3 linked regions of the Drosophila melanogaster genome follow. The protein of the gene in region 2 purifies or fractionates together with the protein of the main gene of each other region. This does not show direct contact. Each region holds a gene or a part of one and is shown on either strand. Other genes may lie near its edges.

Evidence for each region.
Region 1: the proteins of Pbp45 (region 2) and Pbp95 fractionate together in Drosophila melanogaster (co-fractionation; 5 studies listed by BioGRID, with this or other methods). This does not show direct contact.
Region 3: the proteins of Pbp45 (region 2) and Pbp49 fractionate together in Drosophila melanogaster (co-fractionation; 5 studies listed by BioGRID, with this or other methods). This does not show direct contact.

The regions. Positions count from the first base shown.
Region 1 is NT_033777.3:8,012,271-8,017,156, reverse strand, and holds Pbp95 (PSEA-binding protein 95kD), read right to left. Parts: upstream 3,367-4,886; 5' UTR 3,320-3,366; coding exon 2,858-3,319; intron 2,747-2,857; coding exon 2,191-2,746; intron 2,131-2,190; coding exon 983-2,130; 3' UTR 547-982; downstream 1-546. Other genes in the region: CG2747 (uncharacterized protein), read left to right, coding at 152-477; CG10435 (uncharacterized protein), read left to right, coding at 4,088-4,886.
Region 2 is NT_033777.3:15,837,621-15,841,406, forward strand, and holds Pbp45 (PSEA-binding protein 45kD), read right to left. Parts: upstream 1,896-3,786; 5' UTR 1,793-1,895; coding exon 701-1,792; 3' UTR 526-700; downstream 1-525. Other genes in the region: spn-E (spindle E), read left to right, coding at 1-60, 118-360, 2,079-2,812, 2,910-3,562, 3,652-3,785.
Region 3 is NT_033778.4:8,128,808-8,133,105, reverse strand, and holds Pbp49 (PSEA-binding protein 49kD), read left to right. Parts: upstream 1-1,782; 5' UTR 1,783-1,850; exon of another isoform or gene 1,851-1,933; 5' UTR 1,934-1,961; coding exon of another isoform or gene 1,962-2,414; 5' UTR 2,415-2,477; coding exon 2,478-3,611; 3' UTR 3,612-3,752; downstream 3,753-4,298. Other genes in the region: Pabp2, read right to left, coding at 31-164, 315-716, 974-1,072; CG42516 (uncharacterized protein), read left to right, coding at 1,962-2,414.

The sequences.
Region 1 (4,886 bases), 7.8 Mb from region 2:
TTGTCAATTAAAATTACGCTTTAAATGTTGCACGTATGAAGTAAAAGTACGGGATGAAGCGACTTGTCCATCTCTGTGAATTGATGTTCCGTTTAGCAAGCCCTTAAACTTAGGATTATAATATTAATTGTTCCTTGTCCACACTTCACAGATATTCAGATGCTGACTCTGTTGGTCCCTGTGCTCATTGGCTTCCTAGCGGAACCCAGTCGACTCCGGACGCTGCCAAAGTATCAACGGCAGCTGCACGACCAGGCGCTGCAGTGGCTACTGAAGATCGGTCCGAAATATCCGCAGGAGTTTAAGGCCCTGATGGGTCAAACACCGGAACTGCGACAAAAACTAGAAGCGGCCATTCGCAGCCAACAGCAGTCGATTAACATTGCCCAAAAAGCAAGCGAGGCGCAGAGGAACCTGCTGGCCAAGCCGCAGAAGCCTACGATCAAGCTGAAGACGGATTTCAGTAACTTCCAATGAGCGCCTCCCCCGGGAATCGAACAAAATAGTTCTCAAGCTGCTAGTGCTATCATAAAAATGCTTTGTAATACATTGTTACCGCATGAACAATAGGATGGATCGGTTCTTTTTATATTGAAAATAAGGTTTAGACAATTTTGCTCTAATAACTAAATATCCGGGATAAAAGTTTTGAAAGGATTGTAAAACGGCAACTAAAATATACATTAGTTTTTTTGACTGCTTGTGTATTAAATTGTTTCGTTTTGCAGGGCGTTTTGCTATAAATATACCTTTTTTCAAACCTAAGCAATATTTTTAAACTACAATCAGAAAAATGAGCCACCCTAATGCACATCGGTCCGGCATTTGATTTTGCTGTATGTGAAATACGTTAAAAGTACCTACAAGTTTATAAATTATTTGTTAGCCATTGTAATGAACTATTATATAACGCGATATGAAGTAAAAAATATAAACTTTTAAAGCTTAAATTAATCAATATTACATATTTACTTATTAGTTCCTATGGAACTGTATATTCCATTTCCAATTCCTGCTTGACTGTATTAATCACTTCATTCTCGCTAAGCGGCTCGGATTTTAGATCATTCTGTGGTGCCGGCTCTGGATCGATTAATTCAACATGTGTACCCATTTTTGCATAATCGTGTTTGGGGCGTGGTAAAGAAACTAATGCTGATGGTAAGTCCGTAAAGAGTTGTGATTCCAAGCGGCTGAGAAGAGTGGTACGATAGAAAAGAGCTTGCAACCGCTTGCGGAAAAGCTGGATGGGTGGTAAAGATTCATTGTATTCGAAGCTACGTGTTTCCGTATCCTTGCGACAATCTCCGGAAAGAATGCATAAGGCTCGAAACCCCATCATAGTTGACCAGTTGGGTGGCAAAAGTGGGCTCTTCATATCACCTTCCTCGTCCGGAAGGTTTCGGATCATGCTGTTGTAGCACTTAAGCACATCATTTGGCATAAATATGTTTTGTAAGAGCGAGGGTCGAATTGGTGGCTTATATGCAAGAGCTCTGATCACGTAGGCAAGGTTATAAACGTCTTTTGGAACTGGAAAAGTTTTTGGAGTGCTCAGCGTCAGATTATAACTAAACTTAAAGAAGTTGCAGAACTCTATATCAACTTTCGAAAGTCTTGAGAAACTCTCTGCCTGTCGCTCGATCCTAGCCTTTTTCGATTTGGGACCGCGCACCCGAGTTCCTTTCGGGGGGTTATCATTAACTAATGACTCTGGGTCCTCTTGCCACTCTTGCAAACGCTGCGCCCAGTTATCAGAGTTAACCAAGGACACCTTCTTCGATCGGCGGCGTGGCAGGTCTTCCACTTTTGCATTGGGATTTTGTTCAAGGAATTTCTTGATGACTAGGAAGCGGGTTCGACAGCTGGTCCGCGTGTGATTGCCCAAGAACGTGGCACAGTTAAGCCACTGGGAAGCCCCGTATTGCGTTACGAAGCTCATCAGCCGTGTGTCGTCCTGAACGGACCAGGAGTCGGTCTTGTTGCGTTGTGCCAGTACATTGTGGTAGCGAGTTCGGAGTTGGGTTAACGACCGGTTTGGGAAAAGAGAACGCGGAAAACAGTGAAACTTTCCATTGTACTCTTCAACGGCGGCGAACAGCATCATGTCCTCCTTGGTAGTGAAGGGTTCTGCAGTTTCAAAGGAGCGAAATAATAAATTAAAAATTATTCAATATATTGGGTACCTACCGTGACTGATGCTAGGATGCAACACGTAGTAGTAACGACCAATCAGCGTTGATTTGGACTTGTCCGGGAAGTATTCCACGACTTTTTTCCAGTTTATTACACTGTTTGCCGTATTCCTATCAACGATCGCCCTTAGTTTATCGTTGTCCTCTTCGCTCCAGCGGTGGCTGTTCTTTGGCTCCAGCAGAAAACGTAGGGCGGTATGAAAGCGTACGAAGCACTGATAGTCGGAACGTCGGTCTAGCGACGCGGCTATCAACTCCCAGTTCTGCATCCTGTTCGCAGTGGCCACCGCCAGTAAAGTTTCGTCCTCCTCGGGTGACCAATCGTCTCGCCTGAGATCTGGTGTTAAGTAGACCCTCCACATTGCCTCACAGCTATATGGTGAGTGCCGATATTCCAAGTCCAGGGTGCTGATCTGGTTCCAGTCGATGCTGAAGCTACTATCCGCAGTTGCCAGCAGACTTACCAGTGTACTTAAGTGTCGCTCGATTGGCTTGCGCTTCAGGCTTCCGCTGGGCAGCGCATTCGTACTGTGGGCCCTATGCTCCAGTAACTGAGAATTGAGTTTTTTATAAAACAGAATATTAGTATTGCTATTTAACTTTTCATTGCTATTAAATGGGTATTTGGCAATCAATCTGAACCACTCGAAGGGTCCACTCACCTGTTGTTTTATACCCATTATCACATTCTTTTTGTCTAGCAATGTCCATACATGTCTGGAGTGCATGTCAAAGTCGGTGGGAAACATCTCCGTGTGGCACCGCGCCTCGTAATCCTCGTTGTTAGGACAGCTTCGACCATCGATGTCTCGGAAAAACAGGTTGCCCTTGAAGCGAAACGTGCCCTTCCGCAGGATCGCCCCGCTAAGATTGAGGGAATTCGGGCCGAAATGGGAACGAGGTCGCAGCCGGCGCACCAGGATGTCCTCGTTCCGAGAGAAGCGGGCCCTTACTACTTGTAACATGGCCAGAATTTTGGTCCGGACTTGCATGAGCCGGCGCTGGAGCTCCTGATTCAGCTGCAGTGCGTTGGCGGCGCTCGGCTTCGCTGTGTTCTGCAAGAGGGCCGAAATCTCGTCCATAAGCTGCTGCTGGTTTATGCGCAGATCATCGGCATCGTCCATTGCTCAGGTTGTTTTGTTTACATTGCCTTTGACTTTAGCGATGAACTATTCCCGGCATCAACTATCGATAAAATGGTTGCAATGGTCGAACTGCATTAAGCAAATTAATACCCTGCAAATAAAGTAACATTGAACATTACATAGGAAATTGCTGTATTATTGGACTAAGACCTATTAAAGAATAGATAGAGATAAAATAGATATCATAACTGCCATTTTTCGTCCTTATTTATTCCCAGAAACTTTGGTTTTATCTAGTGGAAAGAACATGATTTCAATAAACTCAGTTGTAAAAGCGCGGGATTATTTTAAACAAAAGTTTGGTCAAAAATAGTTTTTTAGAATAAAGATCTTAAAACTATCCGCCATGCACTAAATAATGATACCCTTGGTAACAAAAAATATTTAGTATGTCAAAATGTTTTGTAATTTTAATTTTTTTATGTTGTATAACGTGATCTGTAGAAACTATTAATGTATTCCGATTTTTGTTAAGCCTTTCATACGCCCTCAAATTGGCGAAAATTTGGGTAGATTTAATATCAGCTGTTGTCAAACTCGCAACCAAGCCTGAGTACACCTAATTAGGTGAGCATCTCAAGGAAAAACGATATTCAACACTAGTCGAAATTGGCGAATCAGCAGTGACCGATGACAATACCAATCGCCTATCGCTGCTGCTCGAGAAACAACAAAAGAGAACAGAGAAAAAAAAACGCGTAGTAGCAACTTAATTAACAAAATTCGTGGTGAATGCGCTAGCATAACATGGAAGATGTCCCGGTCAAGATAGTCGAGCGCTACAAACCACCGCCTGCCGTGTACCACCTGCCGCAGGCGACCCTCAATCGCCTGTCGCAATTCCGAGAAGGTTTCTACACGGATCATCCGGATTACCAGTATGACTGTCAGCTGGAGAGGGCCGTGCTGAGTCAGGCGCAACGATGGCGCCACCTGCGTCGCCAGCAGCGCGAGGAGCGAGCCAGTCGCCAGGAGCGTCGCAAGGAGGAACGCCAACGGGCGCTGGAGGCGAGACAGAAGGAGATGCTTGGAGCAGTTGATTATCCTAGTGCGGACGACTTGTCATCGGATGAGGACGAGAAGGAGCGAAAGAAGAACGAGCCCGAGCAGAGGGACGAGGAACAGCAACAGCAGCCACCACCTCCAATCACCGCTGAGTCACGCGACTCTTCCCACGAACCAAAGTCAATAAGTGTGTGTAATTTTCACAATATCTTGCAGCCCACCATTCTGAGCACCACTCCAGTGGTCAGTCCGCAGACGCTGCACAAGCGTAACAGCTCCCTAAACTACGCAGACTTTGAGTACAATATGAACTCCACACCTTTCGACAATATCGAGCTGAAGACCATCAACGATCTAGACATACTAGCTCAGGTTCTGCACCAGACACAGCTGGAGAAGCGCATAGATCAACAGCAGCAGGATCAGCAGCAGCAGGAGCCGCCGCATGAGGATCATTCCAAGGAGGAGCAATCTGGCAATGAAGTGCCAGCTCCGGTGGAGCTAGCAATGACTACGCTGGCGGAGACCAAAGCGACGCTCG
Region 2 (3,786 bases):
TTGATCGGCACCGACTATGTCAGCAAAATCGTCGCCAAGGAAAAGTGTCTCCTGAACGGGGTGAGAACTGGAAGCTTGCGTCAGCACTTCTGTTTGTTTATGTGTAATTCGATCCAGACGCTGCTCAACGAACAGCCTCAAGGCAAACGCATTCGAACGCTGGACGATTTGGACACCGACGATGAGGGGGAAGAGACCGAAATTCGCCGGGATGACGAGTACTACAAGAAGTTCAGATTCAATCTGAATCGCGACAAGAACTTGTCCATCTACGCCAAGCGCGAGGAAATATTGGCGGCCATCAATGCTCATCCGGTAGTCATTATTAAGGGCGAAACAGGATGTGGCAAGACCACGCAGGTGAGCAAAACTTAAATAAAATCCTAACTTTTTTATTAAGTCTATATTTTAATAAAGCCAACGCAAGCGAATTATAATTAAACCTTTTATCCTCGACTTTTGAAATTCAAATCCAAACTAGTCGAGAGTATTTAATATTATATAATAAATAATAATCTTCAATATACTTTTCAACTCTTTATATAAGAATAGCAAAGCCTAGGAAACTTATATCCTATATAGTTATATATCCTATCCTACATACTTAAATACAATGAATATTTTATGTGCAACAGATAAACAAGATCACATCGCGCAAAAATGCTAGTTATTTAATTATGTAAAAGTTTTATAAACTAACTCAAGTATCCAAAATAGCTTTGAGTTCTTCTTCCGTGACCTCCTCGCTTTCACCCACTTCCATTTCCTCGTCGTCACTAAACTCAATCATCTCATACTCTTGCTGCACGTCTGCTGGAAGTTCCCTCTGAAAAACGGTGGCCGAGGACATGCGGCGTTGATAAGTCTCGTTGACCTCCAGCTGCACTTCTAGTTCATCCGCCTGGTTTTGCGGCTCCCGTTCCTCGACGCCGTACATGGCCTTGTTCCGCACCCTCTGGCGCACTTCCAACTGGTTGCCTGTAGATGTTGTGGTACAATTCTCATCTGGAGTACTCTTTCTAGCTCCTAGAACACTTTGGATATCGGCAAAGACTTCTCGCAAATGGCCGAATATTTGAGAGGGCGGCAAAGCGTGCTCATGACCAGCCGCCAATTGCTTCTTTTGGGCATTGTATGCCGCTTCCAGTTCACACAATGGCTGGCTTGCCTGGTCCAGTGCTCGCAGACCCTCCAGTTCGTATGTGAGACTGACGCCGTTCGCACGCTGTTGCTTCTGCATCAAGGCACTCTGCCTCTGTTCCTTGGCACCCGCTACGGTCTCCACACGGTCGTAGTCCACCAGATTGTCCAACCCCTGGCAATAGTCGAGCGCGGTGAAGCGGAAGGCCTGCTCCTGGGTCAGGCGCCACAGCATGTAGGCGATCTGATGAGTGTCCTTCCGCTCCGGACTATCCTTGCGCAGATCTAGAGCGTAGTCTGTTAGTTCTTGCCAAGTGCGCGGTGAGACCTCGATCTTAATAAAGTTGTGCGTGGGCTGCTTGTAGTAGATTACGTAGAGCAGAAAGAAACCTCCGATCCTTTGAGCGCGAGATGCCGGGAAAACGTCCCCGGTGGTGCGTCGGGAGCACGACAGTCGCTTGGCCACATGCAGGGCCGCCAGTGTGGTGGCTATCACCTCTGTGTGGTTCGTCTGGGCAGTGAAGAGGTGCTGCAGCTGCAGTTCTCGCCAGCACCGGCAGAACACCTCGAACTCGCAGTTTTCGCCATCATTAACCAATCGCTGAAATCGTTGCACCAGCTCCCAGCAGTCGTCAAAGATATTCAGCTCCATTCTGAATCTTAATTACGCGAAATATATGCGCATCTCTCATTCAAAAGAGCCTCAAAATATAAACAATAACATTCGCCGGGAATAAGCTTTTACAACACTAGCCGGGGAGTTCATCGATAAATATGTAGTGTTCATAACTGCTTAGCTATTTTCAAAAAAAAAGCGCAAAACTATAAAAACTGTTTGAAAAATGTGTAAAAAATACAATTACATTTTTGTTCTGCTTTGTAAATATTTAGATATTTTCTTATAATTATTATTAGTATTCAATCAATTATTCTTACAGGTGCCCCAATACATTTTGGATGAGGCCTATAAAAGCGGTAAATACTGCAACATTGTGGTGACACAACCCCGGCGCATAGCTGCCATCTCCATAGCGAATAGAGTTTGCCAGGAGCGCGAGTGGCAGCAGAACACGGTGTGCAGCTTCCAGGTGGGCCTGCACCGCCCGAACTCTTTGGAGGACACTCGTCTGTTGTACTGCACCACCGGGGTGCTGCTGAACAATTTGATTAACAACAAGACGTTGACCCACTACACCCACATTGTGCTGGACGAGGTGCATGAAAGAGACCAGAACATGGATTTTCTTCTGATCGTGGTGCGTCGCTTGCTGGCCACGAACTCGCGGCATGTAAAGATTATCCTGATGTCGGCCACCATCGATGCCAAGGAACTGTCCGACTACTTTACCACCACTAACTCAATTCCGCCAGTGATCACCACCAATCATCGACGTAAGCACTCGATCGAGAAGTTCTACCGTGACCAGCTCGGCAGCATTATTTGGAATGAGGAAGATGTGGGACACCAGCAGGTGCCAGAAATCAACAAACACGGTTACAGGGCAGCGGTAAAGATCATAGTGATTATTGACAACATGGAACGGAAGGCTGCAATCCAGTCGCGGCAGAGCTATGACGAGGCCCTGCGCTATGGAGCTGTGCTCATCTTTCTGCCAGGCATCTACGAAATCGACACGATGGCAGAAAATCTTACTTGTATGCTGGAAAACGAGTAAGCATTGTTATCCGTGAGAATTGCTCACTGTACAAATTTTGAAGTAGCTAAAATTGTATCATTATAATTTCCAATCTTTATTGTTTAATTGCAGCCCCAACATTAAGGTCTCTATTGTTCGCTGTTTTTCGTTAATGACACCGGAAAACCAACGGGATGTCTTCAATCCCCCGCCTCCCGGTTTCCGCAAGATCATTCTGACCACAAACATTGCTGAGAGCTCCATCACGGTGCCAGATGTCTCATACGTTATTGACTTTTGTCTTGCCAAAGTAAAGGTAACCGATACGGCTAGCAGCTTCTCTTCGCTCCGCTTAACCTGGGCGTCCAAAGCCAATTGTCGTCAGCGTGCCGGCCGCGTTGGTCGTCTTCGTAGTGGACGCGTTTACCGTATGGTTAATAAACACTTCTATCAGAGGGAAATGCCCGAGTTTGGAATACCAGAAATGTTGCGCTTGCCCTTGCAAAACTCGGTGCTCAAGGCCAAAGTGCTGAATATGGGATCACCGGTGGAAATCTTGGCATTGGCTCTATCTCCGCCGAATCTGTCGGACATACACAATACAATATTGCTTCTGAAAGAGGTGGGTGCTCTGTACTTAACAGTAGACGGCATCTACGACCCGTTGGATGGCGATCTTACCTACTGGGGCACAATCATGTCTCGGCTGCCGTTGGACACACGTCAGTCCCGGCTTATCATATTGGGTTATATTTTTAACATGCTCGAAGAAGCTATTATTATAGGTAAGCGGGCAACAGTAGTTAAGCTTTAGGATAACGGGGGGAATATTCTTTGTCTTGCATTAATGATTTTTTTTTTAAATATGTTGTAGCTGCTGGCTTATCGACGCCTGGCTTGTTTGCGCACGAAGGTGGTAGGTCTCAATTAGGCGATTCATTTTGGATGCACTATATCTTCTCCGATGGATCTGGCTCCGACTTGGTGGCCATTTGGCGCGTGTATCTGG
Region 3 (4,298 bases), on a different chromosome or scaffold from region 2:
TCCAATCGGGATTTTCCAGAGCCCACTTACATAGCTCTTCGGGCGCCTCGGAAGGTGGAGTGACAGCACGCCCGGGAGACACGGGCTCCTCGACCCCGGAAGCTGCCGCGTGCGAAACGGTTTGTGGTGGAGAGTCCAGGGCGGTTTGTGCGCTTCGACATTACCTGAAAGTCAATAGATTAAGCTAAAGTCAACTCTAAATATGTGCTTTCAAAATTGCGCTACGTAGGAGTCCCTAGGACTCATTCTATCCACATATGTACATGAGAGTTTGATAGGTAGCAGGACTAGCAAAAAGTGCTTCAGATACTCACCTTTATTTGACGCCCTCGGAAGAGGGTTTCGTTCATGGCCAATGCCGTCTCGACAAACTCCTTGGAACCAAACTCAATGTATGCGAATCCCTTGGGGTGCCCGTCAGCCTTGTTGCAGAGTATGGTTACTCGGTTGATTGTGCCGCATCCGTGGAAGTGGGCCTCCAGTTCCTCGGCCGATGCGCCGTAGTCCACATTGCCCACGTAGACGGACCGCGTGTCGATTTCCTGCTTCTCCTCAAGAGAAAGCGGGACTGTGGCCAAGCCGGTGGTAGACCCACCGGCCATTTGTTTGTCCACCTCCGACTGCATCTGCTTTATCTTCTCGGCCTCCTCTTCCATCTCCTTGACTCGAGCCTTTATGGCCTCCAGTTCCGGGTCGATTTGCATGCTGCCCTCCTCCTGGCGACGAGGAAAATATGAAATTTAGTGGTATTTGATTTGGAGCGATGAGCAAACGCCCGAAACCACAGCAGACAATGGAATGGAGTGGCGGTGCGAAGTGACGCTCTGAAAATGGCAGCCATTGCTGCGGTTTTCGGCTTTGTATATCCCCCAAAGCTTTGCGAGCTTTTCCAGGGAATTCGGCGGGCTTTCGCAAGGCGTGAGGCCAAGAAACTGGTTCTTGGGCACTGTCTACAAGGGCAACCCCAACTCACCTCGACCTCTGTGGCGATCTCAGTCTCTTGCTCCCCGTTCGTCTCCTCCAATGACTCCAGGAGCTGATCCTCGTTCAATGTGATATCTTCATCGGCCATTGCTTTGGATTTGGGTTTGTTTACGTCTGCTACAAAAGCTCGGTTTTGTTGGCGCAAAAGCTTCCGGCGTGGTACTCAAAACGGCAGTTGTCGTAACTATGTATGTATGGTAGCTGTCAATGAGAAAAGGGCGGCGAAAGTGAGCATAAAGAGCGTAAAACATTAAGAGCGCGAATGAAGAGTTCATCATGCAAATGCAGTGAAAATCCAAGCCATAAGTAAATAAATTCAGGCTGCGGACACCGAAATGTCTAGGTTTCACTGCGTTCGCACTACTACACTGATATTTAATTAAACACACTGTACTTACGTTTAATAAATGTACAAATTACGAGCTCGTTCTGCTGACGTTGAGTTCGCCCAAAATGGCTGCCCTGTGAAAACACACGTACGCTGGGTTGCTGGGTTGCTGTTTTTCGTTCAAAAGTCTACGTTTTTAAACCCTTTTCGACTTTGTTTCGCGCCACACCACGTCAGCATAAATATTTATTTATAAGCTTATTTATTTATTATTTACTAATATTTACAACTATACGAAAACGTACGTAGTTTTTGACACAAATTGAAACAGATTTGTGTTCGCCTCGTTTTTACCGATGACAGTTTTCGCCTCGATAGTTTCGATGGTTTGGTGGTGGGTTTACCTATCGATAACTGCCGGTATTTAAGAAAGCAGTTCTTTGGATGATAAAAATAATAGTATTTTCACACCACAATGCCATTTTAAATTTACCATAGGAAGGAAAGAAGAGGAATGTGCACGCACATTTCTAACAAGGTTTTGTAAATGGGAATCAGACAAATTATTGTTTAAGGAAGTCATATATTGCGAAATAACGCCATCATTCAACCATCAATCAGGGCCCATGCATAACGATAAAAGGAGAACATGAACGATTCCTCCGATTCGGAGTACGAGGACACAGAGTACCTGGTATTTGCGGATTTCAAGAACCACATTCATCCGCACCAGCTGAAGCACGAGGACGCGGCCATTAAGATCATCGGAATCGAGAGTGACACGCCCATGGCCGAGGTAAATGGAAGCATTTATCGGGGACGCTACGAACATTCCGTGGGAACCAACGTGTTCTTTGAGAAGGAAAAAGACAATCTGGCAAGTGATCCGCTTTTTGAGTCAGTGTGTCGCCAGCGGTACCAGTACGTGGACAAATCCACCAAGGTGATATCTTTTGAAAGGGTCTACGTGGACAATTTGCACCAGGAGGTGGAGAAGTCGGCTGAGACTGAAGAGGACGATCAGACCGAGCCAAAGCCAGAATCTCTGAAGCTAAATATAACTTACAAGGAGGCTATTAACAAGTTTGGAGAAGATCATTGAGTGTGGAGAACTGAGTCTAATCCTGAACAAAAAACACTCTTTCAAGACATACCTCTTAGTACCATGGATACCACCTATATTACAACGAATCCAGCTTTAAGCCTGCGAGACTTTCTAGCCGACTATCAAAAGAAAATATCCGGTACTGCAGACGAAGTGCCCTTCTTTCTCCAAAAAAACCCAGTACTTGTCGACGTGTCTGAAAGCTGTTCCCTGGACTTGATCGAGTCCCCAGACGACAGCTCGATTGCAGTCTTCCAGCCCGCCGCAGACAAATGCCGCCCAACCTTTTCTCCGCCGCAGGAGAACCAGCATGTGCCCTCCACTTTTACTGCTCTAAGCCAGCACAAGGACAAGTCCCGTAAGTGTCCCTTTGGCCGCACCCAGTACAGCCACAAACTGAATCCGACGCCGACAGACTCGCCTAACCTGCACATCGATGCTTGCGGCGAACTGGAGCTAACCGTGCGTCTATATCGACCACCGCGGGCCTACCATCGCGGGTTTAAGGTGGAGATTCCCGTTTTCGCCGAGGAGTTCGTATGTCTGGGCAGCAATTATCTGACCGAGCTGCGGGACAAGATCAGCTGCGTTTGCAATGGAAAACGGTTTGTCGACATCAGCGACGATCCAGATGCACCGTTGCCATCCATTGACACAAATCCCGGTTACTTCTTCATCAACGACACATTCTACAACGACCAGCGCAATCCGGACAATCCCGACTATTCCAAGACCGTCTTGCAGTGGGCTGCCAGAGCGAACGGAGTGAACGGAGAAACGCTTAAGGTGGAGAGTATGGAGGGCAAAAGATTCATCGATCTCACTGTCAGCCCCGGATCACCGCTACACTACCTGCACCACGGCAATTGCGAACACCTGTTTGTGATCTCCCAGGTAGAGGTGCTAACGCCACTTAGTAAACGGCCAGATCGCAGCCTGTATCCCTATCCTCACGCCTTCAGTACGTTTAATCGCAGGACTTGCTATATGTGCGGCATTCGCAGCTATAGCTTCATCGTGAACCAGTCCCGGCGACAGCTGCACGATCCCTCCTACCTGTGCCGCAGATGTTTTCTCAGCTTCTTTTACGTGGATGGTGTCAAGCTGGGCCAGTTCAAAGCCTATCGCATGTATGACCATGTAGAGCTGGAGGGCGAAGAGGAGGACATTAAACAGCAAAATCTCCCCTCCTGAATATACATATACATTTGTGTGATTTTTTCTTTATTTGCGAGCTCCTTTGACTGCAAGATCGCTCAAGGAGTTGATTGATATTTTGTTCTTGTAAAATATTCATAGATAGATTTAAATAAAATACATACACGTTGCAACAAGAGTAATTGGCATTGAACGTATTCGATTGCCGTAAAGCTGCCTAAATTCCATGCAATCTAGATTAGCAAAAAGTTAGTGTCCAAGTTAGGAATACAAAAATGCAAACAACGTAAATAGTACGATACATCTGGCTTAGAACTTACGTTAATACATATATGCAGTAGTTCAATGTTTAAAAATTTGCTTAAGGATTTGCACACTGTGGTGCAGAGTATAGACTTGACCAGGACCCATATAAAACAAACCAATAGACTAAATATGGCAAATAACATAATACATTATCCTAGACAAGATACTAGTACTAACCGTACTTAGCAGTACAATACAGTAAAATTCTGTGCACTGGGATTCCGGCGTGCACGTGAAGAGAGACTGTGCGCTTAGTTACTGGGGCGTAGAAATGCATCAACAACATATTGCCAATCCGACCAACAAATATCATTACGAACAACTGCAGGCTGGGATTCCATTCGCCCGGACCTCTTTGGTGTACGCGCTTGCGTTTACTTCAGTGTTAAAGCTTTGACCAGCGGCTTCTCGACGGCG